Oryzias latipes: one gene and its partner. The protein of the gene in region 1 interacts with the protein of each later gene in a pairwise test. Links are inferred from orthologs where the notes say so. Each region holds a gene or a part of one and is shown in the gene's direction. Other genes may lie near its edges.

The links. The genes of interacting proteins can lie anywhere in the genome.
Region 2: the proteins of AP-3 complex subunit mu-1 (region 1) and sipa1l2 interact in binary tests that used the Homo sapiens proteins (3 or more experiments, as listed by UniProt). The two-hybrid records come from large-scale screens. The link is inferred for Oryzias latipes from reciprocal best matches to the Homo sapiens genes AP3M1 and SIPA1L2.

What each region holds. Positions count from the first base shown.
Region 1 is NC_019873.2:23,929,195-23,932,949, reverse strand, and holds the start of AP-3 complex subunit mu-1, read left to right. Parts: upstream 1-1,128; 5' UTR 1,129-1,319; intron 1,320-1,531; 5' UTR 1,532-1,536; coding exon 1,537-1,809; intron 1,810-2,905; coding exon 2,906-3,077; intron 3,078-3,171; coding exon 3,172-3,309; intron 3,310-3,396; coding exon 3,397-3,482; intron 3,483-3,574; coding exon 3,575-3,708; intron 3,709-3,755. UniProt on the Homo sapiens protein: Part of the AP-3 complex, an adaptor-related complex which is not clathrin-associated. The complex is associated with the Golgi region as well as more peripheral structures.
Region 2 is NC_019873.2:28,571,330-28,574,984, reverse strand, and holds part of sipa1l2 (signal-induced proliferation-associated 1-like protein 2), read left to right. Parts: intron 1-1,692; 5' UTR 1,693-1,951; coding exon 1,952-3,458; intron 3,459-3,655.

The sequences.
Region 1 (3,755 bases):
TACCTTTTTTTTTCTTCAAAAATGTAAAAACAACATAAATAAAAGTAGCTATTTAATCTATAAAGCTGAGACAGATGATAGGTTTTAACTGCTGTTCTGTAGGTACTGGGTGTATATAATGTCTGATTTGAGCAATTAATTCAAAGGAATTTTGAGGTTTAAAGCCAAATGTAGTTTAATGAATGTAATATTTTGTTAATAAAATCAGGAAATGTAACCAATAAAATTGTGAAGTAACTTTTCATAATCAGTAAAACCATACAGGATCTGTTTTTCCATGTCAGGAAGAAATCGAGAAAAAATTGAGTCATTATATCATACTGACAATTACTTCCAAACTAATTTTTTGTGATCATAGGTCGAAATTAAATATATGAATGTTTCTTCACATTGTTTACAAAATCTACCCCCCCCCCATATTAATCCTTTTGTCTTTGCAATTATCTTTCGAAAATGCAGTCGTATCAAGGAAGTTTGTTGTTTTCCCTGGGTAGTGACTTGTAGGTAAGTTGTTGCTGCCATAGACAGTATGGTTCCTGCCCAACTCAGTTTAACGAGGAGCTGTAGTAGTTATAGGTGCTACTTTTTCTAATCATATACATACAATAAAATGGTGAATAAAACTTCGGAAACTTCCAAATACTGTCATTAATTGTGTTATACCATGGGGAAATGCGTACGTTTCACAACAGTACACGTTAAAATGCCATCAAAATACAAAAAATCATATTGAGTTTTCCAAATAGTTTTTCTTTAAAAATTTGTAATATTCTAACAAAACCTTTCCACACAATAATGCTGACATACAACAATGGATTAGCTATTTTAAAGAACACCGAAAACTGAATGGTCTGATGCGCGGCTTAGATCGTTGTCAAAGGTTGCCTGCAAAACTATACACCGGTTTTTTTAACCCACTGACTGACAACAATGAGAGCAAAACAGCTGTCCTCTGATTTTGCCTGATTAAAAATAAACCCACTAACTTTAAATAAAAAAATGGAGGGGAAGAATATTACACTTTATTAGATTATCGTGAATGCCACTTCAATAGCGTAAATATACCCGTTTTTCAACTATTAGTCTAGTAGCACAATTCAGTTCTTTCTGCTTACGTGTGCACATAGCTGTAGGCGTCCCCTGAGATGCCTATGAGATATACTTCCATATTGGCACCAACTGAGTATTCTTCCCTGTAGTTGAATCGAGTTTTTTCTTTTTTTAAAGCAAGTGATCTACAGCTAAAACTTTGTAAAAGCTGTAAAAATATTTCGCACTTTACATGTTGGTCTTCCTCTGACAGGATTAACGATAAGTTGGTAAGTATGATTCATATTTTTCTTTCTGTTATCTCACTCAGCACAATAAACTTTTAACTTTTCAGATAATATTTCAAAAGTCTTTTCATTTTTTTTATTTTTTACAAACTGTTTAGTTTAAGTTATTTGAATCATGTGACCGACATTGTGTAGTTATCGTGTGCCATCTGGTCTAAGAGAACCAACTCAAACAACAACGTTTCCTTCTGCAGCTGAGATGATCGACAGTCTGTTCCTGATTAACCACTCAGGAGACATTTTCCTGGAGAAACACTGGAAGAGTGTTATCAGCCGGAGTGTTTGTGATTACTTTTTCGAAGCTAAGGAAAAAGCAGTAGACCCAGAAAATGTGGCCCCTGTCCTGCAGACCCCACACCACTATCTCATCAGTATATACAGGGACAAGATCTTCTTCCTGTCTGCCATCCAGACTGAAGTGCCTCCACTTTTTGTCATCGAGTTCCTGCACAGAGTTGGAGATACATTCTTGGTAGTATTGATTTCTTACCTGAATGTCTTCTTTGTGATAAGTGTGTGCCAGATCTTAAGTGCTTCTAGTCAAGCTCTAGGAATAAGTTTCCTTCTTGCTGCACTTTCATGTAAGTATATAATATATATTAAAGATATAACTAAAAAGTCCTTTATAAGACATTCTTTGAGGCATTAGTTTGGCCAAATATAAGAATTTCAGCAGCAACCTTAACCTTGACTGCAGTTAGTATTTTGTGCTGACTTAAACCAGGGATCGTCTTTGGAATTATCATTTAAACCAATAAAAAAGTATTTTTATTTCAGACTCGAAGTGTAAATGTCAACACCATTAAAAAGAAACACAAGACATACAAAATAATTAAAATACAAGTGAATACACCAATTATAAACCTAATAAAGTGGCCAAACCAGTACCTCCAAATTGGGGACTGGTAATGCAAAGTGCTGTGCCTGATGTTGGTTAGGGTTAAAATGATTTTATTCTTGGAAGCGTTAAAGACGTTGTATAAAACCATAAATAAGATTACTTAAAAGAGCTTGGAGAGTGTTGACTCATATATCATACGTCTTTTTAATAAAATCCCATTATATACCCCATGCAGGCTAAATGGCTATGGAAGGATTTGTTAATACACGATAAAGATATTTTACTTTGTGACTTATGTTTTATTTTGTCTAAACTAAACTGTGTTTATGACGGAAATTGTCATGGGGCACTGTAAGAAATGTTGCTGAATGGGTTTCATGTTAAAAAAAGGAAGAATTGTCAGATTTCAGTTAATAGTAAATGTACCATGTGTACATGCAGGTATGGTGACAAAGCAGAAAAGGAAAAACACAAAAAATATCTTTGAAAATATTAAATTGATAGTTTTGTGTGCTTTAATGCAAATTAAAGGGATTTTATTAAATCTGCGATCCAAAGTAATATCAAAAGGCTCTTCAAGTGCTTAGAAGTACAGCACTCTCAATTGTGCTACACTCTTTCTAATAGAACACAGAACTTACGTTATTGCCCATATTGGTCTGCTGACGCTGCTCAAAGGGACAGCCACTGTTGTCCTTTCAGTAACATTTTTTTTTTTTTTTTGCAGGATTACTTTGGAGAATGTTCAGAAACTGTAATCAAGGATAATGTAGTGATTGTTTACGAGCTATTGGAGGAGATGCTCGACAACGGATTTCCGCTCGCCACCGAGTCCAATGTCCTCAAGGAGATGATAAAGCCTCCCAACATTCTGCGGTCAGTCGTCAATACACTAACAGGTAAACAAACGTCACAAGGAACATTGTGAACTTCTGGCTCTTTAAGTCACACTGAAGGGCAGCGTTAACATTACATTTCATTTGTTTTTTCCAGGAGGTAGCAATGTTGGAAACACTTTGCCAACAGGTCAGCTGTCTAATGTTCCATGGAGAAGGGCTGGTGTCAAGTACACAAACAATGAGGCATATTTTGATGTGATCGAAGAAATTGATGCAATTCTCGATAAATCAGGTACTTGAAAAGAAGAGAAGAATAAAGCAGTTGGTGGGAAATGCAGTTAAATGCACAGTAATACCGGTGACTTTGTTTACTGAACAGGGACAACAGTATTTGCAGAGATCCAGGGGGTCATTGAAGCTTGTGTGAGGCTTACCGGGATGCCGGATCTCACTTTGTCCTTCATGGTGGGCTCATTTCCCCCCATATCTGTATTTAGATCATCTGTGCACTTTTGTTCAAGTCTAAATTTTGCTCATTATTGATGTATTATTGACAGAATCCTCGTCTCCTGGATGATGTGAGCTTTCATCCCTGCGTGAGGTTCAAACGCTGGGAGTCGGAACGGGTTTTGTCTTTCATCCCTCCAGATGGAAACTTCACTCTCATGTCATATCAAGTCAGCTCTCAGAAGTAAGTGATTCATGGGGAGAGCAATGGGGTGACTAGGGCTGGCTATG
Region 2 (3,655 bases), about 4.6 Mb from region 1:
CAGACAGATAGGATTTAAACCACTGGAGAGCAGATCCTCTGATCCCTATGTCCTGCTCTAATCTATGGAGTAAAATACCGTGGTCGATAGTGTCAAAGGCAGCACTGAGGTCCAACAGGACCAGAATAGAAAGTAGTCCCTTTTCTGAGGCCAATAACAAGTCATTAGAGACTCTAACTAGTGCAGTTTCCGTACTGTGGTGAGGTCTAAACCCCGACTGAAAGTCTTCAAAGTGGCTGTTGTCCTGTAGGTGGCAGTAAAGCTGCTTAACTACAACTCTTTCTAGGATTTTAGAAATAAATAAAGGGCAGTAAAGTGTTTCCGACTCGTCTCTAGTGTATTTGGTGCAGTCTGGCTTGAAGCTCATTTAGAAGTGGCCCACATTTCTGTCCAAAAATAGTTTATCCCCCCCACTCAGATTACACAAAGAAATGTAAACAGTCGTCTGGGAGCTGAAGCTGTCATAAAAGGTCTGTTGATGTAGCAGAAACAACGACTGAAACAACTAGGCTCCATTCATCTGTCTACCTTGTTTGCAACCAAACGTTAAGGGCTGCTTTGGTGGAGCTTATTATCCTCACAGAAGGAAATGCTGCTATCGTCTCTGTGATGCGTAGTGACTACTGGGTGACTCTTCCGGTTTTTTAGGATGAGGAGATGAGGACACATTTAGCTACGTAGAACAAGAAAAAAGCATTAAGGTCATTTTCAAAGACTCCCAAGTCTTCCATTCTTATGCGGCGCTACTGTCCGTGGTTGTCCATGTAGACCTGTGTTTGAGCTCCTGAAGTAAATGTAATGCCCTACTCCCAGTCCCTTTGGACCATAAATCATACCTTTATAGCAAAGGATGAAGTCGATTTAAAGAAACATTTCGTTTTCCTGGAAATTGTTCATTTCCTTTAGACTTTATCCTCACATATAACTCACTTGTCTGGTAAAACTGTCCTCCTTTTAGATGGTCAAGAAGCTCAAATAACTGGTCTTATATTAAAAAGGTATTGTCCCAGAAGATGACCATATGCTACGTCTCATCCAGCATCCTTAAAAGACCTTAAGGCTGATTCTCAAGGACGAGCAAACGGATGTTTTAGCATACCTGTTTTCTCTGTCCTTGAAAGTTCAGGTTATTAAGAAAAATGGTCATTTAACGTCAATATTGTCTTTGCTCTTTATCATAAGTGTGGTGTAATAGACTTGTTTTTTCTAAACCTTCCTGTACCCACCTATTTGGACTGATCATCCTGCACTGTAGAAAGGTTTTCACAGTGCAGAACTGTTCCGTCATGTGATTTGCAAGCTTTGTGATGCTAGACCAGATATTGGTTCATGCAAGCATTTAACTGAACATCTGCTTTCCTGTTACTGTCATTTGCTTCGCCGCCATCTGTTCCACATTGGTGCAAGCCATACACATCTAGAGTGTTATAAACCCATAACGGAACACGCTAATTAGCAGTGTTTGCAAAAATGCTGTTCCAAGAAGAGAGCATCCAAAATCTTCCTACTGGGAAACTTTTTAGCAGAAAACGGGGCACTTATATTTCTTTTTCTCTCTCTTTTGCATTAGAATAGAATGTGTCATGGTTGTAAAAAACAGCTCCTTTTACTTTTAAAGTCAAAATTTTTGCTACAGTGTTCACCCGCTGTGTGCTAAACATTGCCTTCTTTGTGTTTGTTTCTCTCCTGCAGATCTAACTCCTCCAGCTGTCAGTCTGCATTGGTTCCACGCTGCGAAGAAAGTCTCTGCTCAGTGCGCTTCAAACACGTTTTCTTGACACCCAAATGTTGTGTATCAACTGCCATGCCATGCGCTCTCAAAGACTTATGACGACGGCTGCTTCTTTAACTCAGGAAAGGGGCTTCTCTGCTGTTTGCCAGTGAGCAAACCACATGACACGATGAGGACCAGCCCAGAAAATCTGCCCCTCAAGGAAGCTGCCGGCAGGATATGAGTATTTTAAGCCCTGTGACAGATAACAAGTCCAACCTTGTGGGAATAGTGGGAGGCCCAGAAGAATACACCAGAGCTATGCAGTCAGAGGAGCTATTCAGCAGGAAACTTAAAGCCTTGAATGGAAGTATGGGACCACCAGCCTCCAGCATGCAGGTGAAACCTGACTGTGTCGGCAAAACAAACGGTACTCCTGCCATGCCTAAAATGGGGGTTAGGGCCAGGGTGACAGAGTGGCCACCGAGAAAAGACGGATGGGATGGACGGCCTTCTCCAAACTACCAGAGTGTGATATCCGTTTTCCAGAATGGACAGCAGGAACATACTGTGGAATTACTGGAGCAAGGAGAAGATGTTTGTGTAGATATGGATTACAATGACAAATACACACTGAGCGACCTTCTCACCAACTCCCCATTGAAGGGCCTTCACCCCATTCGCCAACGCAGCAATAGCGATGTCACCATAAGTGACATCGACTCTGAGGACATCATGGACCAGAACGCTGTTAACCCAAACACTGGAGCTTCACTGCATCGTGAATACGGCAGCACGTCTTCTATAGACCGCCAGGGTCTCGGTGGAGAAGGCTTCTTCACGATGCTCAGAGGCTACAGAGTGGATAACCTGGACCATCGTAGCATACCGCCTCTGGGTTTTCCAGAGTTGCTGCGCTGTGATGCTTCCCTGTCCCCAAGCTTGCAGACAGCAGCACAAATTGCCAGGGGAGAGATCATCCACATTCCAGGCTATGATTACATAGACAGTTCTCTCCTATACAGCCGCGAGCGCGAGAAATCATTTATTAGGCGACTCAAATCAGAGTCAGCTGAGCCGTCTCTTTTTAGAAAATTACGGACAATAAAAAGTGAGAGCGATGCCTTGAGACTCTCCCTAGAGGACGACCGTCGGCCGCTAAGCTTCCAAAAATGCTTTGCCCACTACGACGTCCAGAGCGTCCTTTTTAACATCAGTGAAGCCGTGGCGAACAGATTCAACCTGAGTCAGAGGAAGAACACCACCACTGGAGCTTCAGCCGCCTCCGCCGGGGTGGGGGCAGAGCCCGGCCTGGTGTTAGGAGGTGGGGTTGGACCTGGAGCGGGGGCAGACAGTGCAGCGCTTGGATGTGGCGGTGGAAATCCCATGTTTGAGTCTCCACTCGGCAGCAGGGAGGATTTAAACCCCAAAGAGAACCTGGATGTGGATGAGGGAGATGGAAAGAGTAATAGCTTAGTACTCGGCTGCCCGCACTTTCGCAATGAGATTGGTGGTGAGGGAGAAAGGAAGATCTCCCTCTCCAGAGCCAACAGCGCCAACTACAGCGGGATATCGGAGAGCTGCTCTTTTGAGTCCTCTCTAAGTTCCCACTGTACCAACGCTGGAGTCTCTGTTCTGGAGGTGCCCCGAGAGAACCAGCCAATCCACAGGGAGAAGGTCAAACGCTACATTATCGAGCACATTGATCTTGGGGCTTACTACTACAGGAAATACTTCTATGGGAGAGGTGAGCATTGGTGAAGATGCATTCTTTCCAGGTTTTACACATTCCCAGCATTTATCTGAGTGTCTGTTCCATTGACTGTATCAGAGATCTGGACTGAGTGAGTGTGATGTCATTCATAGAAAATGATTTACTTTGGGCTCCAATGAAATCAATTCAGTTGTCGTTTTCTCAAAATGTCCGAATCAGTTTCAATGGCA